2 linked regions of the Struthio camelus genome follow. The protein of the gene in region 1 interacts with the protein of each later gene in a pairwise test. Links are inferred from orthologs where the notes say so. Each region holds a gene or a part of one and is shown on either strand. Other genes may lie near its edges.

Evidence for each region.
Region 2: the proteins of USP47 (region 1) and AP4M1 interact in binary tests that used the Homo sapiens proteins (3 or more experiments, as listed by UniProt). The two-hybrid records come from large-scale screens. The link is inferred for Struthio camelus from reciprocal best matches to the Homo sapiens genes USP47 and AP4M1.

The regions. Positions count from the first base shown.
Region 1 is NC_090946.1:24,843,839-24,859,212, reverse strand, and holds the start of USP47 (ubiquitin carboxyl-terminal hydrolase 47), read right to left. Parts: upstream 6,185-15,374; 5' UTR 6,035-6,184; coding exon 5,996-6,034; intron 5,369-5,995; exon of another isoform or gene 5,146-5,368; intron 1-5,145. Other genes in the region: uncharacterized protein, read left to right, coding at 6,814-6,939, 14,739-14,831. UniProt on the Homo sapiens protein: Ubiquitin-specific protease that specifically deubiquitinates monoubiquitinated DNA polymerase beta (POLB), stabilizing POLB thereby playing a role in base-excision repair (BER). Acts as a regulator of cell growth and genome integrity.
Region 2 is NC_090978.1:592,750-607,316, reverse strand, and holds the start of AP4M1 (AP-4 complex subunit mu-1), read left to right. Parts: upstream 1-9,899; 5' UTR 9,900-9,986; intron 9,987-10,791; exon of another isoform or gene 10,792-10,907; intron 10,908-10,982; 5' UTR 10,983-10,989; coding exon 10,990-11,047; intron 11,048-11,163; coding exon 11,164-11,258; intron 11,259-11,366; coding exon 11,367-11,473; intron 11,474-11,574; coding exon 11,575-11,671; intron 11,672-12,586; coding exon 12,587-12,697; intron 12,698-12,792; coding exon 12,793-12,873; intron 12,874-12,979; coding exon 12,980-13,042; intron 13,043-13,550; coding exon 13,551-13,617; intron 13,618-13,753; coding exon 13,754-13,807; intron 13,808-13,901; coding exon 13,902-14,008; intron 14,009-14,094; coding exon 14,095-14,186; intron 14,187-14,263; coding exon 14,264-14,308; intron 14,309-14,567. Other genes in the region: COPS6 (COP9 signalosome complex subunit 6), read left to right, coding at 102-216, 456-548, 632-732, 986-1,126; DNA replication licensing factor MCM7, read right to left, coding at 1,751-1,955, 2,478-2,587, 3,306-3,474, 3,557-3,640, 3,839-4,232, 4,350-4,433, 4,676-4,807, 4,938-5,052 and 7 more. UniProt on the Homo sapiens protein: Component of the adaptor protein complex 4 (AP-4). Adaptor protein complexes are vesicle coat components involved both in vesicle formation and cargo selection. They control the vesicular transport of proteins in different trafficking pathways.

The sequences.
Region 1 (15,374 bases):
AACACTTCTTAGGCTCCTAATTTGCCAAAACACTTGTGTTCTTGATTAAGAGATATAGGTGTAATTATGAACGTATAGTCTTGACAGTGTATGCATGAGAAAGGACCCAAATGATATGAAGGACCCATATAAATATATATATATACACACATATATATATGAATGAAATTTTTATTTACAAATGAAAAACAGTTCCCATTTTAAGCAACTATATCTGCTTTTTAAAATTCATTTTAATTTAAATCTTTATTTCCGACCTCATGACAATATCTACACAAATCTATAAATGTATCTGCCTTCCAGTCCTTGAGCTCCTGCAGTATTCCACAGTACTTCTCCTTCCAAAGGATGCAAAGAAGCTAAAAATAATCTTGCTATTTATACCTCTGTTTTTAGACATTATCTACAGTGAAAATTTTCATAGTATATCAAATTTATTTCTTACCTGACTTTTAAAATTAGAACATTCACCAATCCTACAGAATTCATTTAAGTAACATGAAGAAGCATATAAGACTTTCATTACATCTGATTATGGAGAAGATATTTCATGTTCAGGTTCTACTTCAAGAATGCTCCTTTTGACATGCAAAGAACTACTTGGCCATAGTATATTTCCTTTTAAGGGGTTCAAATTGTGCACCTACAGAATAATTTACGTCAAAGAAAACATTCTGCTGAACTACTGCACAATAACCAGTTCTAAGCTATTTCAGAGAACTGCCAATCTAAAATTTATTGTGATTTTTCAGACAAACCTAAAGAAGCCTTGCACACTGCAGTCACAATCCTCCCTGATTAAATTCAACCAAGCGATCCTTTTGCTGATTTTACCCCTTAATGTCCTCCTAAATCTTATTTCATCTTCAAATGCTGAGCAAGACCATTTGTTCAAAACAAGCTGATTACATGCAAATCACTGCAAAACATGAACATAGAAAATACTATGTCATAAACAGTTGTTGCAACGGTGATCAAGTCGTTTACCATTTTACCTGAAAGTTTACAGGAAAAATTTAAAGACTTTCTAGTATTTTCAATGATCAGTTCTCTAGTTCTACTCAAATATTATCGCTTTGAGAATATCATTGTTTTGAGAATATTGTTTCGCTCAAGACAAGAAAAGAGTAATAAATTACTAAATAAGCAGCTCACCTGATAGCACACCATACAGATATTCAAAGGCTTGATACTAGCCCTTGGTATCAGCTTGAAGTTCTTGCTATAAGAATCTCAGACCTTTCCAAACTGAGTAAGAAGCCTGAATATATAACTCAATCACTCAATTTCTAGAGATGTGACTTTCATATTTGCTTTCTTATATATCCACCAACATATTTTCAAATACAACAGGAGGACTGGAGCTATTACTGGATACATGAACATCTTATACATGTTTTAGTGCATTACTGTATCAATACTAAAGTACTAGGAAAAAAGCTTCAAAATAACCTCTGGAAAAAAAAAAAGGCTTCAATTCTGACAGGACTAAAACTTGCAAGCAGGTAACAGAGTCAAGGTAAAGGACTATTTCAGCAAGTGTCTGCAAGTTTTGCTGTTAATATTAATGTCAGTATACTCTTATCAGCAAAAGGAAATTGGATAATGATGATTTTTATCAGAACTGGGGCAGGGAGGGAAATTTATACTTTTAAACCACGATGTAATGCAACAGTGATCTAAATGCACAGGTACTTAGGTTTTAAAAAACAGAAAAACAGAATTAATGAACTATATCTATTTAAAAATGGCAACAAAATATATCAAAACCAAATAGTTTTGTTGTACACTGAAATTCCAAGCTAAAGAAAGACAGCATACAAGCCAGTATATCTCTGCAGAATTTAATACTGACAGATATTTAAAGCATTCTCTGCCTCCACAGAACTACTTCATGTCTTAAGTAAAAACCCATTACCAGGAACAAGTTTGAGAAAGAGTGCATAACCGTACAAAAAGTTAAGGATTTAACTATCATAATACTATATGCATTTGATTTACCAAATTTAATTACCACCAAATCACAAAATAATAGCAAAAACTGCATTTTTGTTTGCAGTGATGTTCAACATGTATTATTTCCACAAAAAATTAAAGTGACAAGTTATTTAATTGTCATATTCTGCCACTGAGTGATAACTTCAGCTAGTAGCATTTAAAGACCAAGGTTTTTAAATGCCGGTTACTTGCTGGCATTCAAAGACCAGCAAATAACTGTCTCTTATACAAAATCTTTTCATCAGACAACCTCAAAGTACTATTAGATAATTATCCTGATTATCTTTCTTATACTACAGATTAAATACCCAGATATATAGAAAGGGGAACTAACCTGCAGAGTTTACCAATAAGCCCAGAGGCTGACCTAGGTGGGGAAAGATCTCACGTACTACTCTCATGCCCTATTCATCAAATTACATTACTACATGAATATCACTCAGAGAATGTTTGTTCACAAGGAACAGACGATTTTGTGGAGTTCTGTTTGGATACTTTCTATGTTTGGTTTTTTCAACCTGAATTCCAGAGTATTCGCTAGGTCAACGAAGCGGTCAGTTTCTCTCCTTGTCGCAATGGTACCTTCGTGCTTTACGACAGAGCACACCAGAACGGAAGCTGGGAAAAACTGAGAAGTTACACAAGCTGTAAATACTAGTAGAATCTCTTAATACACTGGAATAGAACGATGACAATGTCATCAGCATTAAAAAGAACAGTACCCTTTTAGTAAACTGAATTACAAAACACCTTACTCGGATTCTTGTTCTTCTAAAGAAGAAGCTGAAGTGATAGCCATCAAGAAACATCTTTTATTTTTTTCAGTGCAGAAGATTAACATGGATTCATTAGTCTACAGATGAAAGAACTCCCATTAGTTAGCTGTGAGAGAGCAATCCCACTACTTTCTTTGATTTAATAGTACCAAGTACGAAGCACATATATTTATTCTGACAGCTGTACTTTGGATGGTTCATGCTGGAACATGTTGAAAAAGTATCTGTGCAGCATTGTTAAATTTATTGGCACAGACATTTCCAAAGCTCACAGCAAAACATACATTTTAAATTCTGATCAATTATGGAAGTCTGGGCAATTCCCTCTGAGTTCTGGTACATGTTAATTTTCAACAGAAATCTCAGTAAAATTTACTCACATTATCAGCAAGCAAACATACACATCTTTCTCATCAACTGTGTTGATTAGAGTACTTTATTATCCTGTATTTGAGTTAGATTCACCCAACATAAGTTTCAGGTCTACTTCAGAGATGCAAACTGAATAATGTCTCAAAGGTACAATTTTTGTAAGATACCAATATGAATAAGAACAAGTCTGAGCACAGCAGTATAACTACTAGTATTTTCCATTATTCTCTATTATTGTCTACAAAAACTTACGAAAAAAAAAGTATTACACCTTAAAAACTGCAATCTCATCTCCTGGCAGCATGAATATATATACATACATACACAAACTGAAGGCCTATAAATAACCTCACCCCTATATTTCTCCTCTTAAAACAAAGAGGCTGTTAATACTATAAATAACTCCTATTACCATATACTACCATGGCATTACATAAGCTTGTAGTCAAGAACAAAAATCAAGTCCTTTAGTTGACTAGTCATTCCCCAGACTGGCCCAAAGCAAACAGATCTCTTCTTGCTCTTCTATATCAGGACGCAAAGGAAAAAATATGGCAGTGTACTGATATTTAGGAGACCTTGGTTAATATCCCAGCTTTATCTTTGAAACAGCAGAAGACACTGAGCTTCACAAGCACTATCACTCAGCCCTTTTGGAAGAGACAAGAAAGATGAACTGTAATCCTTTATCCACCCCAAAGTAGCAGAACCGAAACTCCAAAAGATCTGTTTTGTCTCCGACTGTTGATAATGGCATAACAGGAAGATTTAAGGGACGGTTGTCTGGAACTTGGACCTGGAGAATTCCGTTCACCCATAACTCTATTCTCTGCCATGAGACTATTAAGAATCTCCAAAGGTTTTAATGTGAACGTTATAGCATAACACTTGTTAATCTTCCTATCACTGAAACTAAAATGAGGAAATACTGAAATATATTGGAAAAAGTTGATGATAAAGTTACATTTTGACATATATTTTACTAGATGGATTTAACACAGTTAACGTTTCTCTCATCAAAATACCTATTTGTGATTTTTTTTTACAGTCTCCATGAAAATTCCATCAGTTGTTAAACAAATCCCCAAAATGTTGCAGAACTGACTCTTCAGAGAACAAACGATCACATTTACAGTATTCTCAACATTGCTCCATTTTGTTTATTTGCAAAATGCACGGGGGAATAATATAGAGCTTGAGAAAACTTGTTAAAAAAAAGGAAGCAACTCTCTGTATCATTAGCAACGAACAAAGTTTATAGATTTCATACTGTATGCTTAAGATGGCCCTATCTGTAATCATTGTAATTTTTTTATATTCATCTTCCTTTACCCATGCTTACCTTCCCTACAGATAAAAGAGCGTGTAAAATCCTATCCAATGAGTCAGTTAAAAATACACATCTGAATCATACGTATATTCTGAATATAACTTTAAAGTCAACAGGGATACTATTAATATATATAACTAAGAAACTAGCTGAGCTGTTTGTTATTAATCAACTAATCTGTTCCACTTATCTACCACAGAAGTCACAAGACTTGTCCTGCGTGTCTCCTTTATTTCTATGTTCTCCCTTTTTAAATGAACTATTTAGGTATATTAGCTATTATACGCCATTGCTTGTCTTATGTTTTAGAGACTTTTTTCCCCCCTGTAAAGGGATTTAGTCTCTTAAATGTTTGGCTTTTAAAAAGAGGTAAAGTTTACTTGATCCATAGATATCCTTTACTTACCCATACAATTCCATATACACAAATTTGTTTCCGAAACTCAGTACTGCTGTTTGTTTCACAGCTGTGCTCAAGGATCATCACTTTGTTTTGCTAAACTCCATAAAATTAAAGTCCTTGCCTCACAGAGCTTCCCGTACGTATGCGTTATGAAACAGGCAGATATAACAGACCACTGACATTTGACGAAAAACGACAGGAGTGGCTTGAACAATTTTAACAGAAGAGTAAAACGGCCAAAAAGTTGACTGAATACGTAAGTATACCTGCTCACGAAGTAAAGTTCCTGCTGAAGTATTTCTGTGAACACTGCTCTATGAATAATTGTTTCCAAACGTTTCACACCACCCCTGGGGGAGCTCCTCTCCCCCTCCGCCCGCCCTGAGCGGTATCTGTCGCACTTGACACGTGTCGTTTGCCTATCATCTCGGGACAGAGGCTCAGCCTTCCTCTTTCAGCAGGCTCTTATCTTCAGCCTACGGCCAAAAGCAAGTCCTTCTCCCTCCCTCCCCGCGGCAAAGCCGACGAGGGGCCCACGGCACAGGAAGCCCAGCCCACCCCCGGGACCGGGCAGCGCTGCCCGTGGCGTGCGGCGCCGCCGCCACCGGCCCCTCCCGGCTGCCATTTCGCAGGCAGGTGCCCGTCCCTCGGCGGCCGCAGCGCACGCAGCGCCGCCGCCAGGGGCCGGCCCGGCCGGGCCCGCCGCGACCCTCCCCTCCTCCTCGCCCAGCCGGGCTCCGCAGGCCCCGGCCGCTGCCCCCCCCTCGCCAGAGGCCGCGCCGGGCCCGCACGCAGGCCGCCGCCGCGGCGCGGACAGGTGCAGCTCCCCGGGCGGCCGCCCCAGGCCCCGCGCACCGGCCTCCCCACGCGGGAAAGCCCCCGCTCTGCCCGGCCCCACAGGCGGACACCTCCCGCCCCCCTCGCGGCGACGGGCCCTGGCGCACCCCCGGTCCGGGCCGCGCACGGCCATGCCAAGCCGAGCCAGGCCGGGCCGGGCTAGGCCGGGCCTCCGCCGCCGCCGGGCCCAGCTCCGCGGGCCGCCTGCCTGCCTGCCCGCCCGCCGCGGCAGCCGCCTCGGCCCCGCGCCCCCTCCGCTCCGCCCCAGCCTCGCCTCACCTCTTTGGGGACGAGCTGGTTCTCCTCGCTGGGCACCATGGCCGGTGGCGCGGCCCGCAGCAGCCGGAGCGGAGCGGCGCCGTCGTCAGCAGCGGGAGGCGGGGGGACGCCCACGGCGCAGCCTCCACCCCCACCGCCGCCGCCGCCCTCCGCCGGCGCCAATCAATGGCAAAATGGCCGACGGCGCCGCTCTCGCGAGACCGCGCGGCGACGCCGCCTGCTCGCCCGGCCCCGCCGCGCGGGTGCGCCACGGCCCCAGCTCCGGCGCCGGCCGCTGCGCGCGCGGGGCGGGGCGGGGCGGGGCGGGGCGGGCGGTGTGGGGCAGTGCGATGCGGGGGGCCGGGGGCAGTGGCGGCCCCTGCGCGGGGGGACGGCGGCGGCGGCGGCGGCTCTTGGACCGCGCGTTGGGCGCGGCCTCTGCCCGCCGCAAGCTTCGCGGTTGGCGGGGCAGGTCGGGCGGATGAGCGAAGGGGTAAAGTTAAGTTGTGCCCGGTAAGCGAGAGAGAGCAGGCGGTTGTGAGCTGTACGCTGAGGAGTGAGCGATTCCCTTCAGGTGCGGGAGGGAGTTTACGGGGGGGGGGGGGAGGGGGGTTGCTTCGGGCGTGGGGTTTCTCCGCCCGCCGGCGACGGCGGGGCCGAGGCGGCGGGTGCGAGGCCTCGGTGCGCTGCCGGCCCGCTGGAGGCGGGCGAGGCCTGGGCCTAGGGCGGCCGGAAGGGCAGGGCAGGCGCGGAAGGGCGCCCGAGAGTCCGGCGGGCCGCGCCACGCCACTGGCACGCGCTTCGCCGCGCGCAGGTGCGTCGCCCCGTGGCAAAGTGGGATGAAGGGCGTGGGCTGTGGTTTCAGTGAGCTCCTCCAGTTTGCGTTACTCATTTTCTCTTCGCACCTGGATGGGGTTTACCCACCACTGAATGCGGGGCTGGAAACCAACAGAAAGAGTGCGAAGGTAAAGTAGGTGTCATCCTGCTAACGCACGCGCGCTTGCTTTGTGCCCAGAAACTGTTCTTTGAAATAGGGCTGTGAAATTAAGCACGTGCTTGCTTCGTTGTAAATTTAAGGCTAACAGCGCACTTTCAAAGGAAATACAAGGATATTTCTTCGGTATGCATTAGTTGCTGGTTTTGTCTGCAAAAAACTTATGTGTATCTGTGTTTTTGTGCTACCTCAGGCACATTAGAAATCAAATATTAATCTTCAGAAAGACTAGAATGCGCAATAGGAAAAAGTAATTATACATTAATGTCAACTGTGAAATAGTTCTTTAACTGGAAAGCATGGTACTTTGCAGTTAAAGAAGAGGTATATGTTTTCATAGAAATATTTTTCTCATTGTTTTAGTGTCCTCTTGTGGAAGAATGCAGGTTTGAGAACACCTCTTGATTTTATGTCCAAAAAGTTTAGCATTTTAGGGTAATTCTTGAGATCTCTTGTATTCAGGATTACTGGAACTCTGTTGTGGAGATTAAGTAAAATAAAGTGACCTCATTTTCCTTTTATATTTTTTTTTGTAGTATAAAATGTGTAACTCCTCAGGTTCCTGACTGTCATCCTGCTTTCTAGAAGGTGAGCAGTAGCATGTTTTGGAGTCAGTATGTAGTTGTGAACGTTTGAAAAAGTGTTCAAAGAGGACACTTCCATAAATAACAAAGTCAGTAGTTTTGTTTTCATCTTACAAGTGTGTTATGGTAGATGGTACATTTCATAGCTTTTATGAATTCTGTTTCTTGAACTAAGCACAGAAATCCTCTTGCTGAATATTTACATGAATCATTTAATATTTCAGCCTGCTCCTGATGTGTTTTGGCTACACAAATTGATGGGTTTAAATTATTTATGTAGTAAAGGTGAGTGAGTTCTTAGAGTTAGGAATTCTTCCTCTTTGGTGTTGTAGCGTGTAGCATCTTAAAGTCCCTCATCTTAACAAGACATTCCAGCCCTAATATATGAAGTGAAGCACCTAGACAGAAACTTAGGAGTACCTTACTTTTAATGATATTTTATGTTAGCTCAGTGTTCTGTAGAGCTACCCCTCTACAGGAGGGAAATGATATGGAATGATTCTTTTTTTATGAGAAAGGAAGTATGAAATTAATGAATTGTTGTCTTTTAGAGAAGATTTCTTTTTGTTAATGACTAACAGTTATATTGCTGATTGAGGGGTTAGTTTGTTTTTTGAGCGAGACTTCACTAAATATTTTGGTGGTAGCAAAGATATAATTCTACAAATAATGAAAAGTAGTATCAACATTTATAGATATTGAGAGAAGCACAGCCCACTGGTGATCCTTTGTTGCCCAGTGGTGTCCAAAGATCCATGAAATCAGCAAGGGAGTACTCGAATGGAAAAGCCAGAATAGGCATGTGGGCGTGCAAGAGAAAGGAGATACAGTCGTGAAGGAACTGGCTGGGAGGCTCCGAGGATGGTGTGTGACTATCATTACGCCACTGATGCTCCTGTTTTGTGTGTTTGGTTTTTTAAGGGGCCAAAGACTCTAGACCTTGAGGGATTTTTCCTCTTTTGCACAAGGGACCCAAAATCCTGGAGTGAGAAGTTTTCAGAGATGGTACTTTTTGAATTTCTTTTGACTTCCTGAGGTGTTACGGTCTTGTTATGTTTTTTGCTGCTTTCTGTGCTTGACTAGGGGCAAAGCCATGAGACTCGATGGCTTTAAATATATTACGCTATCGGGATAAAGAGGTAGCTACCACAAAACTGTCTCTGCTAGATAAGAATCAGGATTTTTCCAGCCATTAGAACTGTACAAACACCAAGTGTAGCATGCGTGCATAGAACATCTTTAATGGTGTAATAATTTCTAGTTAATAATTAAATGTCTGTGAGCTTTTGAAATTTGTGGATGCTACAGTATTTAATCTCTGCATGTGAGACTTTAAAAAGGAGCATTCATAATTCAAGTTTCATGGAGGGAATCCTGGTCTTATGTATATGCTAATTAACATAGCACAGGTTTAACTCGTTATTAACAGTACAAAGAAACTGATATCTCAAGCTAAAAATGATACCAGATTTGAGAGTATAAGTGAAATTCTTAGGCTGTTGATTGTCAAACAGTCATTCAGAGATAGTTCATTAGTGAATGACTGAAAACTGACGTACTTCAGCACTTGTGACTGTAAGTGCCACTTTTTACTAGGTTTAGTGCAATGCGTCACTGAAGCACAAGAAGGCATACATCACGTTAACGAAAATACAGTTATGCTCCATTGACGTTGCAGAGTAAATAGCATGTCCTCGCTATAAGAGAGGATGAACTTTTAAGTTAGCTTGCGGGAACTGGATACCTCCCTCTCCATAGGCTATTTCAAAACTGTGCTTCAGTCATTTCTCCTACAGTGAAAAAATTCACATGCTGCTGTTCCAACACCCATGTCCAAGATTTGATGGGTAGTGAAAAAAGTTGTAAAAACTAAATGGAGGGAATATTGACATACATCTCTTATGCTCAACCGTATGCCAAAACGGTAGGGGTGCAAAATCTTAAGAAAATGTGTAAATGTCAGAATACAAACTGATGTTGGTTTTGATCACAGTAATATTACCTCAATTTTTTCATTAAAGCCTGTGTAAAGAGGTAGCATACATGAATATCATTCATTTGGGATGTCTTCTTTCAAGCACTTCAGCTCTGATTTTTCAAATAGACTGTTGGTGGGAGGTTTAGTTCCCATTTCAGAGGTTGGTGACCTTATCATTTATGGAGCCAGCACAGCCGTGCGTGTCTTTCATGGTTTTGCTCTATTAAAAAAGCTTGAAGTTTGATATTCATTAGCAATTTGCCAAGGGTTGCAAAGTGAAATAGCCATTTCATATTTGCTAACACTAGAAACGTGGCCAGATGCAGCATTGTTTTAGAGCTCTTCTGTATTGTCAGTGCTTTAAAGAAGGCAGCTGCAAGCCTCTCCCCTCTTCAGTCTTTGGAAAGTCCACTTCTACTGATGGAAGCAGAGATTTGTAAAAGTTCAGGATATCACAATCCACCAGTGCATTGCACTGCCAGTCACTTTGTTGTTTCAGCCTCAAGTAACTTTTCCAGAATCGCACAGGCAGCTCTGAAGCATTTCTCAGAAAATCTTAGGCCGTCTCCTTGCCTACTGACTGCGCCATCCAATCCTTTCCGGATAAAAAAAAAAAAAAAAAAAAAGCTATAAAATTTGCCTTTGTATGGCTGAAGTAAAGATAGGGTAAGGGCAGAAGAGGGGTTGGTAGAATTTATGTCAGGTGGAGAAGAGACAATTATATCGGTTTCTGAAGGTATCTCCAAAGATGCCTTTTGCTAGATTTCCATTTCTTGGATTTTAGCTCCCTAAATGTGAAGCAGGCCAATAAAAATCTAGGAATAAGGAGTAAATTACTGGTGAATACTGGTCTTTAAAAAGGGACCACTGATTACTTTTACTTCTTCTGTAATTGTTGTTAGAAAGAGGTTTTTACATTTTAGCCTTTTATTGGATCGTTTCTTGAATGTGTTGAGACTCAAGAGCTGGAATCAGAATATTGTTTAAAGATAAAGAATCATTGCATAATCTTCTATGAACTGTATCTAAAAGGAAAATGCCTGTGGTCTACCTTCTAAAGAAGTATGTGCAGAATATTAAGAATAAAAAAAATCCTACTCTAATGTTAGAATGCTGTGGCAAATTAAAGCTTTAGATTAACTGTGGAGATTAACTATGGAAAAGGTATGCACTCCTTTTAAAGAGATTGTTGTAGGAGACAGTCTTGTAGGTGTAGTAGGAGAGTAGGTAAGTAGCCTTCTCTGAGAGAAGTTGAACTTCACAAGGTTAAAGAAAAAAAAGCTCAGTTTTAAGGTAACTTGTAAACATTGTCTTGTAAATGTTTTGCTATTCTTAAGTAGTGTTTTCTGCTATAATCTCTGTGAGCATGCAAGTGCTTCTCTGTTCTCTAGCGCTGTAATCCCTTTTAAGTCCTTTTTAATCAAAAGCAGTTGGAGATTATTTTAATTAATTATTAATCAGCAACCAAGATTCGTTGACGTTTTTGTTAAAGATTATCTTCCTACACCAGTTTCAAGACACTGAGCATTCAAGATATTAGCTTGTGAAGTTAGTTTTCTTTTCCATGATAGCATTAATCTTATGTATGAATTATCTAAGGGATTTGAAGGTTAAATTACAGGTGTAATTACAGGGAAATAGAAATCCTGCGGAGAATTTTGCAGGACCCAGGATTCCTGTATTAACGCTATATTGCAGCATCAATGTGACTTACAATTTTCAACACTGTGTATTTAAAACTACAGAGCAGTTTCTGGCATTAGCAGTGTAAACAAAAGTATTGACCTCTCAATGCGCTTGTCAAAATCCTCCTGGTGGTACTGGGAGTAAAACATATGCACTGGCAGGACAACTTTCACTTTGTGTGGTGTGAGATTGGAAACAGATGTGGGCCGGTATCATGTAGAGTTTGAGGGATCCCAGAAAACCTCACACTGATTTTGATGCCTTAGGCTCATGGCCAGAGTGCAGTAGGGAGCCTACCGTAGCTCCTCTACCTAAGATGTGTGCGCAAGCTAGGAAATCTGCTGTCTCTTTCTAAGCATACAGACCAATAAGGTGTACGGCATACCTCTTTTCTTTTTGGAACGTGGGCTGGTATGTTATCTAACCCTGTCCTGTAGAGCAGGGGGGTGGCAAGGGGCAGATGTGTCTGTCCGCACCAACGTAACAAAGGCTTAAGTGTGGGAAAGCAAAAAGAAAGGCAAATTGCCTTGAATGCATACCGTGAAGGTAATGTCAGTCACTGAAATCATTCAGTGACTTCAGAGGTTCAAAAAAAAAAAAAACCTTACAGTGACATAGCCAGTATATTAAAAAACATTGAATTAACACTTACGGCATACGAGGATTGCTCTTGGAGAGTCACCATGAGAGTGCAAAGGCAGCACTAAATAAGACTCTGTAATGTGCAAAAATAACAGTGGCTTAGCTTCACGTGGGACTGCTCTCAGCATGGACACTCGAAGTATTTATAGCTGCCCTTGAGCCCAGGAGAGTTAAACGGTTCAGGCTTGCAGTAGGGGTTCCCAGTGACCCTTCAGATTAAATTTGATGATGTTTAACATTACTGACAAGTGCTAATTATACTGCTCACAGTTCTTTGGGCATGCAGGGGGTGGTTTTCCATCCTCAGCGAGACCTAACACATAGGGACCATTTGCCTTGACCCAGACTTATGATCCTGGGTGGCCTTCCCCTGAATAAGAAGTGATTTCTTCACGTTTTCTTCCCAAGGTGCCAGGACTGTCACTGTAAAGCGGTAGCTGCCTGGACCTCGCCACATGCCATCTCATGGCTCTGGTGCGTGCAAGGGCAGGACCACAGCAGGATGTGAGCCTTGGGTTCCCTCGTTTTGCAGCCTCTGCTGTGGGGCCCCTTGCCCTGTCCCAGGATAAGAACCTGCCAGCCTTTTCTGCAGGGGTAGTGGGAGGACAGCAAGAAGGGGCTGTCACCTCTCTTCCCATTCCTGTATAAGTGGTGCTTAGTGACAGGGCTTGGATACCCTGTCTGCATTGCTCTGTGCCTGCACAAGTCATTTTCTTCCCTGGTAAGGGAAGAAACTTTGTAGTTTGGGAAATACTGGGAGGGACTGGGTTATTCTGTAGCAGTTTTAGGAAGAGGAAGAGTTGCTCTTTAGCTATGGGTCATTCTTCCTGCCAGGGTTTTCCTCCTATCCTTTCACAGGATGCTCATGTGTGCACAGCCCTGTGGCTTTCTGCTTGTGGAGATACAGCTTGCAGAGAGCAAACATCGTATTCCCACAGGGACATGGCACAGGGTGTGCCACAGTGAGACATCCCTAAAGCAGCTTTTAAATGAAGAAGGTTTCTTGGGTTTTCTGCCTTTGCTTGTTGGTTTTATTCTCAGGTGTCACAGACGGGAAACACATCTGCAGGCTTTCTGTCTGCTTCAGGTTGTTGCAAGAGTAAGAGGAGCTTAAATAAAATATCTTAATTTTAGACCTTATGTTCAGCTCTGAAAGGGATGTTGTATGTACAGAGCTGTTGGGAGGCTTGGCCTAAAACCCTCTCTGCTGCTGGCTCTGTGGTTCTCTAAGCTCAACCTTGTCCTTGTTTTGCAATAGGCTGTCTGCTGAGCATCTGTAGCGTTCTGCGGCTTTAAGGCCTCATCTCCTTGGGGGTTGCTGGGGGCTTTCTTGCACGAATTAATGTAGCTTTACCTCTGGCAGCAGCAAAGGGAGCTGCCAGAGGTCTGACATAGCATTTAAAATGTCAGCTGCCGGTCTCCGGCAGCTGCCAGCACTGGAGCTCTGGCATAGGGAATGCTGTCAAAGGATGAACACAAGGAATGTCAGTGTGGACATAGTGTGAGTCAGGCTGGGCTGGGACTTGTCTACAAAGTATCCTCAAACTGGTAAAACACTGTCTGAAATCTCCCAGCAAGTTGTCTCCTGTTCTGCTTGGGTCATAGGATCGGAAACAGTATGGACTCTTGACTGTTTTTTAAATTCAGACTGGAGTATAAGTAGCCTGTCAGAGTATGGGATCTGCATGGATACAGTAATCCTGTGAAGCTAGGGGTCTCTCTTCTGAGTGAGAGATTAAAACAAAGCACTAAGTAGTGAGAATTTTAAGAATCTGATTTCTGTAAGCAATCTCATTTTGTTCACATGTGTATGAACGATATTTTTTTTTTTTGAAGTGACTTTTCATCTAAATGTTTGGAGTACATCTGTTGGTTGAACTGAATTAATGTGGGGGGAAAATAATAATAATAAAAAATTATAACTCCTGTCCTTGTTTGTCAGCACTGCCTTTCAGGAAGATGCCTCTTGAGAGCAGGTGTTTCCCCAATATTTTAATTGAAACATTTGGCAGCAGATCTGACTCCGAAATGTATGCACTTTTATATGAATTTGGGTTTCCAAATTGGTGCTAGCACAGGATGTAAATTTCTTGCTATACTATTACTACTTTGCCCATTGCAAAATAATTGTGACAGTTGTTAAGTTCACTACGTAACCATTTGCCTGTTACTCTGATTTAGATTGGGCTTGTTAACTGGCTCTGTTAGATGTAAGCACATCTGAAATGCCTACATAGAGACGAATTACAAATCTTTTGAATCAGATCCAAATCCATTCATGGGGCTTAGCTTTTCAGCAGAGGGTTCTTCTAAATGCTGATGTTAAGGGAGGAGTGCTCCTTGTTTTTGTTTTTTTTTTCCCTTTGGTTGGCAAGTAATGTAGGGTGCGTCCATGGAGCGGCAGGGGTGTATGAATCGGAAGGGTCTCTGTGCCATACTTGTAGCTGCAGTGATGAACTGGGCCCTATATAGTATTTACCACTTTTTTTTTTCGTAGGGAATGAATGTTTACCATTGTTTATCCAAGAAACTTACCCCTTTCTTTTCCTGTGCCTTCACTCATGTGCTGTTTTTGTGTTCCTTATGGTAGCAAAAGATTTACAGTAAGCAGCCCGAACAAATTTTAAAGTGCTAACATCAGTGTATAGAGTTTTGATACAGACAGTAAAGGAAACACTTAATGGAAATCAAATTCCAAATACGCTGTTGGGAAACCTGTCTACCAGAATAAGAGAGAGCCAAAGGCATGCATGAACTTGTTGATGTTCTAGGTTTACTACCGCATACAGGAAAGTTTGCATAACATACACACACATACATACACATCCTACTCTGCATCCAAGATCTGTGGTGTATTGTGGATTTTTTTTTCCTTCTTAGTCTGCGAAGGTTTCTGAAATGGAGAAAATGCCAACATCATCAAAGGGTTACCTTGTGAAAACTGCCAAGAAGTTATTATCAAAGATAATAGAAGTAAGTCACATTTGTCTTTTAGGACTTTTTTGGCCTGTTCTGACTGCTGAATATGGTGGGGGGGGGAAAGCCTGACTTTTAACGCATTTTACAAACTTCAAAAATTTTGCTAAAAAGGTAAATTTTTGTTAATCCTTGCAGTCTGATCTTCCCTATTTTATTACTGCTACTTCAGCCTCTTTCTGTTTTCACTTGTCCCACATTTCTCCAAAGACAGGCTGAAAGTGTAGTATACCTGTCCTTTGTTAGTCCTCTCTCTGTATTTCTTTGTCATTTATTTTCATAGCTTTAGATTTATTCAGGATGTAGTACGCATATTTCAGAAAAGAAGAGGTTAGTGAATCTTTAGTTACCTCATAAAAACATTGATGTTCTTGGCAACCTTGGTACAGTACTTCTGCTGCACTCACAAATAAGGAACGTAACCTTTTTGGTTGCTACATTTCCATACAGTCAAATTAGATTACAGAGTCTTGAGAGTCCTTTTGTACATTCCTCAGCAGTTACAGCAATGTTATGGTGCCTCTTTTGAAAATTGAGAGG
Region 2 (14,567 bases), on another chromosome or scaffold:
TGGGGTCATAGGGGGCACCCAGGGAGGTTGCCTGGGGGTTTGGGCGGGGGGAACTGCTAGGGATCCCCATGACACCCCCCCCTTCCGCCCCCCCACCCCAGGCCACCATGCTGTTCGCGGAGCTGACCTACACACTGGCCACAGAGGAGGCCGAGCGCATCGGCGTCGACCACGTGGCCCGAATGACGGCCACCGGCAGCGGGGAGAACTCCACAGGTTGGGGACACGGGGAGGGGGGGACACAGGGGGGACAGGGACACGGGGGGGGGGGGACAGGGGCGCAGGGGCTGGGGGACACAGCCCAGGTGCCATGAGCTAGGCTTGCGAGGGAGCACGGGGACACAGTTGGAAAAGGGGACACGAGGACGAGGCGAGCAGGTCCTGGCAGGGCCGGAAGGGGTGACACGAGGGACCTAGGGGACACCTGGCCCTGACCCCCAACCTCGCGCCCGCAGTGGCTGAGCACCTCATCGCCCAGCACAGCGCCATCAAGATGCTGCACAGCCGGGTCAAGCTCATCCTGGAGTACGTGCGGGCTTCCGAAGCCGGTGAGTTGGGGATCCAAAGGGGGGACAGAGGTGTCCCCGAAGGGGACAAGGGCCATGCCGGGTGCTGACGTGGGTCCCCGCAGGCGAGGTGCCCTTCAACCACGAGATCCTGCGCGAGGCCTACGCCCTGTGCCACTGCCTGCCCGTCCTCAGCACCGACAAGTTCAAGACGGACTTCTACGACGTGAGCGACCCGTTTTGGGGGTCCCCGTGTCCCTCTCTTGTGTCCCTGTCCCTAGGAAGCACCTGGGAGGGTCCAATCCTCCGTGGTGGGTGGGTGAGAAGGGGGGGTCACATCCCGCTACTAGGTGCTCAGGACATCCTTGTCCCTCCCCCTGTGGCTGTATTTACATCGGGGGGGACCATGGGGTAGTTTTGGGGTGACAACAGCCTCGCTAACCCCCCCCCAATCGTGTCCCCCCCCGCCTTGTCCCCAGCAATGCAACGACGTGGGACTCATGGCCTACCTGGGCACCATCACCAAGACCTGCAACACCATGAACCAGTTCGTCAACAAGTTCAACATCCTCTACGACCGCCAAGGCATCGGGCGCCGCATGCGGGGGCTCTTCTTCTAGTGGAGGGGGAGGGGGAAAGGAAGACCCCTCCCCCAACCCCTGGACACCCTCTTCCTCCCAGAACTGTGTCCCTCCTCCCTGGAGCTGGGGGTGGGGGGGGAAGGCGCAAGGGGACAGTCCCCACGCGTCCCCTCCCTAATAAAACGCGGTTCCGGGGCAGGAATTAAGGGCTCCGGTGGTGTCACTTTGTCCATCCCGTGACCCTCCCTGCGGTGGCAGGGCTGTCCCCAAGGGAACGGGTCCCCGAAAGCGGTGACAGGCAGATGGTGGCAGCAAGGGAGCCACGACCCTGGCTCCAAAATCAGTAAGAAGCAGGTTTTTATTAATAAGAAACAGGAGAGAAATTGTAACAGTACCAGAAGATGACAGGGCAAAGGTGACGGAAGTGCCACAAAGCCAGAGCCTGTCCCATCCCCCCCAAGGGGACATCGCCGCATGACCCTGCGTCACCCAAAGGTGACGGAGAACACGTTCTTGTGTCAGACGAGGGTGATGGTGGGGGGGGGGAATGTCCCCATGTCAGGTAACGCCAGGACGCGTCCCGGTGGCAAACGAAGGTGCCGCAGGGGGCTGCTGTCGGGTGGCAGGAGGACTTGGAGGGGAGGGCATTAGGTTGTCCCCGCGTCACACGAAGGTGATGCGAGTGCGGGCCGGGTTCACCTGCAGCACGTTGAGCTCCTCGTACTCGTCGAGCGCCGCCTGCACCTGCGCCGGCGTGAAGCCCTTGGCCAGGCAACGCTGCAGGGCCTCGGCGTAGCGCACCGCCCGGCCCTGGCCCCCCGCCAGCTCCCGCACCGCCGCAAAGATGGCGTCAGCTGGCCGCTGCATCCTGGGGACAGGTGACAAGGGTCAGGGTAGCTGCTGTCACCCCGGCCGCCCCAGGGATGCGGTCAGGGTTGTCCCGGCTTCCCTCCAGCCACCCTGGGGAGAGGGTCTGGGCTGCCGCCCTCCTCTTAGCCGTCCTACAGCCACCCAGGGGTCAAGGGGACAGGCATAGGGCTGCCCCGGGACAGCCACCACCTCCCTGGCCACTTAGGGGACGTGGGGATGGGGTCAGGGCTGCCCTAGCGCTGCCACTACCTCCTTGGCCATCCTACAGCCGCCCAGGGGTCAAGGGGACAGGTATAGGGCTGCCCCAGGACAGCCACCACCTCCCTGGCCACTTAGGGGACGGGGTCAGGGCTGTCCCAGGATGGCCACCACCTCCCTGATCACCCCATGGCCACCCAGAGGACGGGGTTACGGTTGTCCCAGTGCTGCCACCGCCTCCCTGGCCACCCCACGGCCTCCTGGGGGACATGGGGCCAGGGTCACGCCACCTCCCCCTCCCCGTGGCCCCCCTCCTGCTCACCGGCTGTGCTGTCCCTTGTCCCCCAGCAGCGAGTCCTTGGACATCTCCATGAGCCGTATGGCCTCGTTCACGTCCTCCTTCTCCACCGTGTCCACCAACCGCAGCCGGGCCTGCAATAAACAGGGTGAAGAGGGGCGGGTAGGGGGTCAGCAGCCACCAGGGTCCCCAAAGCAGCCCCCCCACAGCCCTGGGGCACCCCAAAAATCACCCAGCACAGCCACAGAGCCTGCCAGGGCTCCCCATCGCAGCCCCGAGGTGCTCCCCAAACCACTTCAGTCCCCAAACCGGCGCCACGTTCCAGGATGGCGCAGGGGACGCTGAGGGACGGCAGGAGCCGGCCCTGGTGCTGGCCACATCCCCGGAAGGGACGCTGGGAGCCGTGCCGGTGCTGGCCGTGCCCCGGGGGCTCTGGAGTGCTGCCTCGGCAGTAGATGCCGCACACACACTACCTGCACAAACAGCACTTTGGGGCCCCCGGGACTCGTCGGGGACAGGGACACGGACGCGGCACGGTGACCCGACGGCCGCTGCAGCTCCGTGGGACCACGAGGGCTGGCCCGGCTCGGTCTCCCCACCTTGCCTGGGCTCATCCTGCCTGTTTTTGCCTCGTTTTACCCTGGCCGGTCGGACTTTGCTGGTCTGGTATCACCTCACCTTGTCCCATCGCGCTCCGTCTCACCTCGCCGAGCCTCGTCCTGCCTTGCCCGGCCCTGTCTCACCTCGCCTGGTCCCCTCTTGCCTCGCTTAGGCCACGCAGGTCCTTCTAGGTCCTTGTTTTAACCCCATCTCGCCCGGCCCTGCCTTCCCGCACCCGCCACGGGGGCTCACCAGGGCCGTGGCCAGGCGGAGGATGCCCAGCAAGGTGCGGGCGGACGTGTAGGTGGTGTCCTTGTTGGCCCAGGCCTCCTTGCGCATCTCCACGTAGGCGGCCGTGATGTAGTCAGCCAAAGCTTCGGGCACGGCGGGCTGCTTCCGCTTGCACATGGCGATGTAGCGCCTGAGGGGTGAGAGGGGCAGGGTCAGGCCCGCGGAGGGGACCTCACATCGCCTCCCAGCGTCCGTGGGTGGGCAGCTCTCACCTCATGAGCTTCATGTCAAGCTGCTGGAAGGAGCAAGGCGGCTGGCGGCTGTGCTGGTGCACGTAGGTGATGTGTTGGGCCAGGCTGCGGGGCGGAAAAAAGTTGGGGGCAGGTGCCGGAGTCGCCCCACGGCTCCCGCACGCACCCTACAGCCCCCAACCCAGCCCCATGGCTCCCACGCAAGCTTCACCGTTCCCCCAAACGCATTCTCCCACGGCCTTGCGTCCGGTCCCACAGCTCCCACGGTCCCCTATCCAACCCCAGTTCCCCGTCCCGACTCACCGCAGGTCGTTATCGCGGTCGGGGCGGTCCTGGATGAGCCAGAGCAGATCGAAGCGGGACAGGAGGGCAGCGGGTAGCTGGATGTTGTGCTCCAGGCTGCGCTTGGGGTTGTAGCGACCGTAGGCCGGGTTGGCGGCAGCCAGGATGGCGCAGCGGGCGTTGAGGGTGGCCAGCACGCCCGCTTTGGCGATGGAGATGCTCTGCTGCTCCATCACCTCGTGGATGGCCGTGCGATCGGCTTCGAGCATCTTGTCGAACTCGTCGATGCAGCAGACGCCCTGGTCGGCCAACACCAGCGCGCCGCCCTCCAGCGCCAGCTCGCCCGTCAGCGGGTCGCGCAGCACCGCCGCCGTCAGCCCCACGCCCGACGAACCCCGGCCCGTCGTGTACTGGCCTGGAGGAGCACAGAGGGGACCAGAGCTGGGTCCTCGCATGGGGGACAGCGGCGAGAGGCCCCGGGGAGGCTCGGTAAGGGGGGGGTCCCAGCCCTTCCTAGCCCTCCCGTACTCACTGCGGGGTGCCAGGCGGTCGATGTAGGACAGGAGCTGCGATTTGGCCACGCCGGGATCCCCCATGAGGCAAATGTTGATGTTTCCTGGGTGGGGGGGGAAGGGAAACGGTGAGTCCTCAGGGCAGACACTGTCCCTCTCTGCCATCAGGGACGGAGCCGTTTCATCCCTCCACCCCGAATCCTTCGGTCGCAGCTAGCGAGTCCCTTTCTCATCCCCTCAGGCTCATCCCGGACCCCGAAACCTTCCCGCGCCAGAGGGAAGAGGCCCTCGGAGCCGCGTCTTCCCCACCCAAACGCCCTGCCGGCGCGCAGCAGCACGGCTTCACCTCGGATCTTCATCCCGTGGGGGCTGCGGTCCACGCCGCCCACCAGCAGCAGCAGCAGCGCCTTCTTCACATCCTCGTGGCCGTAGATCTCGGGGGCGATGGAGGAGGCCAGCTTGTCGTAGAAGTCTTCTTCTGCAAAAGGAGCGAGGGAGGGCATTGAGGGCGGCCGGCTGCCCTGTTGCAGGACAGCTCTGGGCGTTTTTTAAACCTAGTTCGCGTGCATCTCGGGGTGCCAACGGCTCAGCAGCGCCCAAAATCTCACCTGTGATTTGTCGGAGCTCCTCCTCGGTCAGCTCCCCAGCCCCTGACTCGTCCTCCTCGCTCTTGTTCATCTTCACGATGCGGTGGGCCTCCAGGTAGGTCTCTGAGAGCAGCCCCTGGGGGACAGGAGGGTGACGGCGGGCTCGGGGCAGGGCCACCGCAGCCCCCCACCCCAGCCCGTCGCGGCAGCGCTTACCTGGGTGACCTGGCGGAAGCCGGTCTTCAGCAGGGGCAGGAAAACGCCGGTGACGCTGACGTGGTCACCGGGCTGGGCCAAGCGGGTGTTCTCGCCGTGCACAGCCACGCTGATGGAGCGGGGTAGGTGCCCCACCGGCACCTGGTCGGTCTGCGGAGGGCGGTGGGTGAGCGCGGTGGGTGAGCGCGGTGGGTGAGCGCGGTGGGTCCCCAGCTCCGCCGTCGTGTCCCCTCCCCACGGCCCGGGAACCGGCCGTTCCGCAGATGCGGGTGCCGGGAGCCGCAGCTGGAGCTTGCTGCCGTCACCCCCGAACCAAAAATCACCCCCTGCACCAGTACGAACTGAGGGGAAAAAATATGACCCAGGTGTCCTGGCGCCTTGAAGCCTGCAGGGGCCACTCGCGATGCCACCAGCTCTGCGCTGAGTGACAGCGCCAGGGGAAGGGTTATCCCCCTCTATCCTGCGCTGGGGGAAAGCTCAGCTGGAGACTGGGACCAGTTTGGGGCTCCCCAGTGCAGGAGCAACCAGCTGCGGGGCTGGAACACTGGGTAGGAAAAGAAATGCCAAGAGGCGGCAGGGAAAGGGGGTTGCGTTGATGCCATCGCCTCCTCGACGAGGCTCGGGTCGTCCTCAAAGAGGAACGGGGACGAGGCCCAGACAAGAAGGGACCTTCTGTCCTCAGCTGGATACCAAAGCCCAAACCGCGGTCATTGAGGAAAACCCCAAAATTCCCTCCCAGCTCTGCGATCCTGGTTGAAGGGATCTCTTCCCCACCCACCACCACCCGAAAGCCCCGGAGCCACGCGCCGTGGCGTCCCGTCGCTTCGTGTTCCTCACGTGTTCCTGCATCTTCAGCTCCTGGAACTTGATGAATTTGGAGCCGCGACTCTGGAGGTAGAGGCGGCCGCCGGAGCGGTTCGTCTGGCACTCCCGGCTCGGACACATGATGAGAGGCATGAAAGTAGGCGACTGGATCTACGGAGAGCGGCAGAGCTCAGCTGATGCCCCTTCCCGCTTCCCCCTGGGGCTGGCGGGAGCCACCCGTCCCTGCCGAGCTTACGGGCTGGTAGGTCTCGGCTCCGCACTGGTCGCAGCTGTAAGTGGCCACGATCATCATGGGTTTGACCTCAGTGACGCGGGTGACGATGCCGCGGACGGTCACCAGCTTGCCGATGCAGTCGGCTTTGACGTCGCGGACCACGCGGGCTTTGGCTGTCGACGGGGCTTTGAAGTAGAGCTCGCTGGGGCGGGAGGGACGGGGGTCAGGAGGGGGGACACCAAGAAGACAGGGATGGGGACATGGGTTAGGGGGGAACGTAGGTGACAGGATGGGGGTTTAAGGTGGAGGAATCAGAGGAGATAGGAATCGGGAATTAGAAGCGATGGAGAAGAAAGAAAAGTGGAGATGGAATTAAAAAGGAAACAGGTATAAGAATTAGAGAAAAAAGCAAGACAAAAACAAGGCAAAGAAGGGATGGGGCTTCGCGAGGACGCTCGGGGACAGGGATGGGGTTGGCGGGGACACCGGGGTGGCAGCCTGGTCCCCCTCTCAGCACTCACAAGCGTCGCAGCAGCTCCGGGGGATACTGGTTCTGGGGGCTGCGGGTCTCACCGGTGTCGCGGCCTCGCTGCTCCAGCAGCAGCCGGTGCTCGATGTAGACGTCCAGCACGTCCTTGCGGGACACCTAGGGGTAGAACGGGGACAGGGAAGGTGTCAGGAGGGGACAGCGGGGTGTCCCCACACCTCCCCGCCTCGGCTCTCGGGCACCTCGCGCTCCTTGTACTGGGGCAGCAGCTCGTGCACGGCGTCGGCGAAGAGGCGGCTGTAGCGCTTGGCGTTCTCGCACACGGCGTCCGCCAGCTCGGGGTCGTCCTCGGCCACGTCGTCCAGGGCCACGTAGAGGGCCACCTGGTCCCGGTGCGCCAGCGCGGCCTGCGGGGGACAGGGTGGGAGGGGTTGGGGGAGCGAGGAAGGACCCCCGGCTGGCACGGGGGCATCACCCGCAGCTCCAGCGGGTGACAGGAGAGAGCCTGATTCAGCCTGGGAGGGGGACAAGGACCCCCCATCCAGCCCAGAGGTGGCACCCGTGGCTCTTCTAGGGGGACGAGGGACCCCCGATCTCACACGTGGGTCCTCCCAGTGACACTACCAGCGCAATGGGGACAAGGACAGACCCCCATCCAGCCCAGAGGTGGCACCCGTGGCTCTTCTAGGGGGACGAGGGACCCCCAATCTCACACGTGGGTCTCCCAGTGACACTACCAGCGCAATGGGGACAAGGACAGACCCCCATCCAGCCCAGAGGTGGCACCCGTGGCTCTTCTAGGGGGACGAGGGACCCCCGATCTCACACATGGGTCCCCCCAGTGACACTACCAGTGCAATGGGGACAAGGACAGACCCCCATCCAGCCCAGAGGTGGCACCCGTGGCTCTTCTAGGGGGATGAGGGACCCCCAATCTCACACGTGGGTCTCCCAGTGACACTACCAGCGCAATGGGGACAAGGACGGACCCCCATCCAGCCCAGAGGTGGCACCCATGGCTCTTCTAGGGGGACAAGGGACCCCCAATCTCACACGTGGGTCTCCCAGTGACGCTACCAGCGCAATGGGGACAAGGACGGACCCCCATCCAGCCCAGAGGTGGCACCCGTGGCTCTTCTAGGGGGACAAGGGACCCCCGATCTCACACGTTGGTCCCCCCAGTGACACTACCAGCACAATGGGGACAAGGACAGACCCCCATCCAGCCCAGTGGTGGCACCCGTGGCTCTTCTAGGGGGACGAGGGACCCCCGATCTCACACATGGGTCCTCCCAGTGACACTACCAGCGCAATGGGGACAAGGACAGACCCCCATCCAGCCCAGAGGTGGCACCCATGGCTCTTCTAGGGGGACAAGGGACCCCGATCTCACACGTGGGTCTCCCAGTGACACTACCAGCGCAATGGGGACAAGGACGGACCCCCATCCAGCCCAGAGGTGGCACCCGTGGCTCTTCTAGGGGGACAAGGGACCCCCGATCTCACACGTTGGTCCCCCCAGTGACACTACCAGCACAATGGGGACAAGGACAGACCCCCATCCAGCCCAGAGGTGGCACCCATGGCTCTTCTAGGGGGACAAGGGACCCCGATCTCACACGTGGGTCTCCCAGTGACACTACCAGCGCAATGGGGACAAGGACAGACCCCCATCCAGCCCAGAGGTGGCACCCATGGCTCTTCTAGGGGGACGAGGGACCCCGATCTCACACGTGGGTCTCCCAGTGACACTACCAGCGCAATGGGGACAAGGACGGACCCCCATCCAGCCCAGAGGTGGCACCCGTGGCTCTTCTAGGGGGACAAGGGACCCCCAATCTCACACATGGGTCCCCCCAGTGACACTACCAGCGCAATGGGGACAAGGACAGACCCCCATCCAGCCCAGAGGTGGCACCCATGGCTCTTCTAGGGGGACAAGGGACCCCCAATCTCACACGTGGGTCTCCCAGTGACACTACCAGCGCAATGGGGACAAGGACGGACCCCCATCCAGCCCAGAGGTGGCACCCATGGCTCTTCTAGGGGGACGAGGGACCCCCGATCTCACACGTGGGTCCCCCCAGTGACACTACCAGCACAATGGGGACAAGGACAGACCCCCATCCAGCCCAGTGGTGGCACCCGTGGCTCTTCTAGGGGGACAAGGGACCCCCGATCTCACACGTGGGTCTCCCAGTGACACTACCAGCACAATGGGGACAAGGACAGACCCCCATGCAGCCCAGAGGTGGCACCCGTGGCTCTTCTAGGGGGACGAGGGACCCCCAATCTCACACATGGGTCTCCCAGTGACGCTACCAGTGCAATGGGGACAAGGACAGACCCCCATCCAGCCCAGTGGTGGCACCCGTGGCTCTTCTAGGGGGACGAGGGACCCCCGATCTCACACATGGGTCCCCCCAGTGACGCTACCAGCGCAATGGGGACAAGGACAGACCCCCATCCAGCCCAATGGTGGCACCCATGGCTCTTCTAAGGGGACAAGGGACCCCAATCTGGCACGGCGCTGTCACCGGTGGCTCCGTGGGGGGACAGGGGCGGGAATAGCCCCCCCCCGAGGGTCCCCCCACCCCGGCCCGGTGCTGCCCCATCTCTCACCAGCTGGTCCCGGTACGGGAACTCCTTGCCCAAGTCGCCATCGCGGTAAAACTCCTGCAGGAAGCGCTTCACCTTATCTGCGGGAGGGAGGGGACATGTCAGGCCCGGTGTCCCGGTGTCCCCACGCCCCCCCTCCCCCGGGCCCGGTAAACAAAGCCACAGGTGGTCGCCCGACCCCGGAAGTGCCCCGCGCTGCCGGTCCCGGCTTCCGGGGGGGGGGGGTCTTCGTACCCTTCTCGGCGGTGTAATCGCGCGGTGCCATGGCGGGGAGGTCTACGGGGACCGGTGGGGGTCAGTGTGGTTCCGGTTCGGCGTCTCCGGTACGGGTGCCCGTAGGGGTGAGGCCCAATCAGTGAGGCTCCGGTTCTGTGCGTCGGTACGGGTCGCGGCAAGGGTCAGTGACGGGTGGCCGTAAGGGTCAAGCCCGGTCAGTCGCGTTCACGGTTCGGCGGCCCGGTACGGGACCTTGCAGGGGTCAACGCCGCTGAGCGCCGCCACTCCGGCTCCGGCCGCCGCAACCAAAAGTGGCGCGAAAAGGCGCCTCACGTGGCGCCCGCGGGCCAATCCGGGGCCGGCCTCGCCCCCTTCGCCCCGCCCCGCGCGGCCCCGCCCAATCGCGGGGCGAGGCGGCCCGGCGCGGGCTCCGCCTCCTTTGGGCCGCGTCACGTGACTCCCGCTTTCCCCCGCGCGGCCGGACGGGACCGAGGTTCGGGGAGACCCGCGGGGGGCCCTGGCCCCGCCCCCTCTTAAAGGGGCCGCGGTTGCGGGGGGGCGGGGCCGGGGGGTGCTGGGTGCTGGGGAGGGTGGATGGGGGGGTCTGGGGGTGCTGGGGCCTTGGAGGGGTGCTGGGGGGGTGGATGGGGGGCACTTGGGGGGTGCTGGGGCCTTGGGGGGGTGCTGGGGGCTGGATGGGGGGTCTGGGGGTGCTAGGGCCTTGGGGTGCTGGGTGCTGAGGGGGGATGGGGGGCTCTGGGGGTGCTGGAGCCTTGGAGGGGTGCTGGGTGCTGAGGGGGGATGGGGGGATCTGGGGGTGCTGAGGCCTTGGGGGGGTGCTGGGGGCTGAGGGGGGATGGGGGGCTCTGGGGGTGCTGGAGCCTTGGGGGGGTGCTGGGTGCTGAGGGGGGATGGGGGGATCTGGGGGTGCTGAGGCCTTGGGGGGGTGCTGGGGGCTGGGGGGGTGGATGGGGGCTCTGGGGGTGCTAGGGCCTTGGGGTGCTGGGTGCTGGGGGGGTGGATGGGGGGCACTTGGGGGGTGCTGGGGCCTTGGAGGGGATGGATGGGTGGTCTGGGGGTGCTGGGTCCTGATGGGGGAGCACTTGGGGGGTGCTGGGGCCTTGGGGGGGATGCTGGAGGATGGGGGGGGATGGGGGGGGTCAGAGGGTGCTGGGTCCTGATGGGGGAGCACTTGGGGGGTGCTGGGGGGGTGGATGGGGGGCTCTGGGGGTGCTGGAGCCTTGGGGGGGTGCTGGGTGTGGGGGGGGTGGATGGGGGTGTCTGGGGGTACTGGGTCTTGATGAAGGGGCACTTGATGGGTGCTGGGTCCTGGTGGGGTGGGGAGCAGGACCTGGAGGGCGCAGAGCTCTTTCGAAGGTGCAGAGCCCTGGTAGCACCCAAAGGTGGCCAGAGGGTGAGTGGGGGGGGTCTCGGGGTGAAGGAAGGGGGGGAGGGTCCCACTCGAGCCACCCCCTCCGCCTCCCGCCAGGCCAGCGATGCTCTCCCAGCTCTTCATCCTCTCCTCCAAGGGCGACCGCCTCATCCATAAGGACTGTATCCTGCTCCAGCGTGGGTGCTGGGTGGGTGGGATGGGGTGAGAGGTTGGGGAGGGGTCCCCCTTGCCCCCCCTGCTCCCCACCTTCTTCTGCTTCTCCTTAACCGCAGACCGGTCCGTGGCGAGGCCGGTGCCACCAGCCAGGACCTCGCCGACACCTTCTACAAGAAGATCACGGCTTTGCCGGGCGACCAAGCTCCCGTCTTCATGGTGAGGGTGGTGGTAGGGTGCTGAAACGGGGTGGTGGTGGGGGAGGGGTCCCAGCACCCTTCCCAGCTCCGTTTCGCCCCCCCCACCACCCACCCGCCACCTCCGCAGGTGCACGAGGGCCGGCACTTTGTCCACGTGCGGCACGCGGGGCTCTACGTGGTGGCCACCGCCGCGCCAGATGCGTCGCCCTTCACCTTGGTGGAGTTCCTCAATAGGTATGGGGAGGGGGGGTTTTCGGGGGGTGGGGGGGACACACCGGGGGACAGGAGGGGACGCGGCAGAGTGGGGGGAACCCGTTGACGGCCCGCCGGCGCAGGTTGGTGACGTTGCTGCGGGACTGCTGCGGGACCCTCAGCGAGAAGAACGTCGCCCTCAACTTCGCCCTCGTCTACGAGCTCCTGGACGAGATGCTGGTGGGTGGGCGCCTTGGGACACCCTACGGGGTGACGGGGACACCCCTAGGGCGTGGGGTTGTCCCTGGGGATGCCTTGGGAGGGACACAGGGGCCACCCCGGGGGGAGCTGGGGACATCTTGGGGTGGTGGTGACCCTGCTGGGGGCACTATGGGGACAGTTTGGGGACAGTTTGGGGGACTGGAGCCACCTCAGAGGGAGGTGGTGACACCCTGGGGTGGTGGTGACCCTGCTGGGGGGGCTATGGGGACAGTTTGGGGGACTGGGGCCACCTCAGAGGGAGGTGGGGACCCCCTGGGGTGGTGGTGGACCCCCTGAGGGGGCTATGGGGACAGTTTGGGGACAGTTTGGGAGACTGGGGCCACCTCAGAGGGAGATGGGGACACCCTGGGGTGGTGGTGACCCTGCTGGGGGTGCTATGAGGACACTATGGGGACAGTTTGGGGACAGTTTGGGAGACTGGGGCCACCTCAGAGGGAGGTGAGGACACCCTGGGGTGGTGGTGGTGGCCCTGCTGGGGACAGTTTGGGGGACTGAAGCCACCACAGAGGGAGGTGGGAACACCCTGGGGTAGTGGTGGCCCTGCTGAGGACAGCTTGGGGGGGGGGACCAGGGCCACCCTAGAGGGAGCTGGGGACATGATGGGGGAGGCCAAGCGACACTCTCCTGGGGCTGGGGACAGCTCTGGGGGTGATGGGGACACCTGAGTGTGGTGGGGACACCCCCATGGGGTGACGGGGACATTAGAGGGGGGTAGTGGGAACACCCTAGAGAGAGAGCTGGGGGGCCACCTTTGTGGGGGGGGCCACTCAGGAGCATCTTTAGGGTGCTGGGGACAACCCAAAGGGGCTGAGGACACCCCTGGGGGAGGGGGGGACACGGGGACATCCCTGTGTGTCCCCCCCCCCCCGCCAGGACTACGGTTACATCCAGACCACGGCGCCCGAGGTGCTGCGCAACTTCATGCACACGGAGCCCGTGGCCACCAAACCCTTCAGCCTCCTGGACCTGGGCTCCATCGGGCTGGTGAGCACCCAACCCCCCCCCCCAACCCCACCCATGGGTGCCCTCGCACCCACGTCCGGCGAACGCCCCCTTCCTCTTCCTCCTCCTCGTTGCAGTTCGGCGCCGAGACGCAGCAGAGCAAGGTGGCCCCCAGCTCGGCCGCCAGCCGCCCCGTGCTGCCACCTCGGGGGGAGCAGGTAGGACCCCCCCCCTGCCGCCCCACCCGATGGGTGTCCCCGTGTCCCCCCTCCCCCCGCCCCACGGGTGTCCCCGTGTCACCGCCGACTGTCTCTGCGGCCACAGGGCGCCAAGAACGAGGTTTTCGTGGACGTGGTGGAGAGGCTGACGGTGGTCATCGCGGCCAACGTGAGTGGGGACGGGGCCACCGCTCGGTCGTCCCCCCCCAGTGTCCCCTCCCTCCCACTCGTCCCCCCACCTCCGGGCACCTCGACCTGGGGGTGTCCCCTGTCTCCGAAGCACTTCGCGTCCCCCCTCATGTCTCCCCCCAGGCAGCTTGGCTTGGGGGTGTCCCCTGTCCCCAAAGTGCCCCGCGTCCCCCTCGTGTCCCCCCCCAGGCAGCTTGGCTTGGGGGTGTCCCCTGTCCCCAAAGCGCCCCGTGTCCCCCCTGTGTCCCCCCTCGAGGCACCTCAGCTCAGCCTGGGGGTGTCCCCTGTCCCCAAAGTGCCCCACGTACCCCGTGTCTCCCCCCGAGGCACCTTTGCTCGGCCTGGGGGTGTTCCCTGTCCCCAAAGCACCCCGTGTCCCCCCATGTCCCCCCTCCCAACACCTCAGCCTGGGGGGGGGGAATCCCATGTCCCCAAAACGCCCCGCGTCCCCCCCAACCCCGGCTCACCCCTCGTCCCCGCGTCCCCAGGGGACACCCACGAAGGTGGACGTCCAGGGGGAAATTCGCCTCAAGTGCTACGTGCCCAGCTGCTGCGGTGAGCGGGGGGGGGGGGGGGGGTCCCCAGCGGCATTGGGTGTACGGGGCTGGGTGTCCCCCCCCACCCCAAAACCCGCCACCACCGTGTCCGTCCCCCCGCCACCCCGGTGGGTGACACCGCCGCGTCCCCGCAGAGATGCGCATCGGGCTGACGGAGGAGTTCTGCGTGGGCAAGTCGGAGGTGCGAGGTGCGTCCCACCCCCCCCAACTCCCCCCCAAGGGGGAAAAAAAAACCCTAAACGTCCTTTTTTGCCCCCAAAATCGCCTCCCCCCCCCACCAAGGCTACGGCACGGCCGTCCGCGTGGATGAATGCGCCTTCCACGGCGCCGTCAAGCTGGACGAGTTCGAGAGCGGCCGGGTGCTCAAGGTGACCCCGAGCCAGGGTGAGGTGAGGATTCGGATGGGTGGGGGGCACCCTAGGGTGATGGGGGGGCACCCATCCTGACCCCCTTTCCCCCTCCCCACCCGGGGCAGCTCACGCTCATGCAGTACCAGCTGGCGGATGACATCCCGGCGCCTTTGCCCTTCCGCCTCTTCCCAACCGTGGACCGGGACGCTGCGGGCAGGTGAGGGTGGGGGGGGGGTTTGGGTGGGGGGGGGTTTGGGTGACCCCGGTGCTGACGTGGCCCCGCGTCCCCCGCAGGTTGCGGCTGTACCTGAAGCTCCGCTGCGACCTGCCACCCAAAAGGTTTGGGGGGAGGGGGGGCTTGGGGGGTGGCTGGTGGGTGTCCATGGGTGAGAGGGGGGAGTGTGGTGGGTGTCCATGGGTGTCTGTAGGGGTGGAGGTGTCCAAGGGGTGTCCATGGGTGGTGGTGGGGGGTCTAGTGGGTGTCCATGGGTGCCTGTAGGGGTGGGGGGTGTCCAGTGGGCATCCATGGGGCTGGGGGTGCCTGGTGGGTATCCGTGGGTGAGAGGGGGGTCTGGTGGGTGTCCATGGGAGTCTGTAG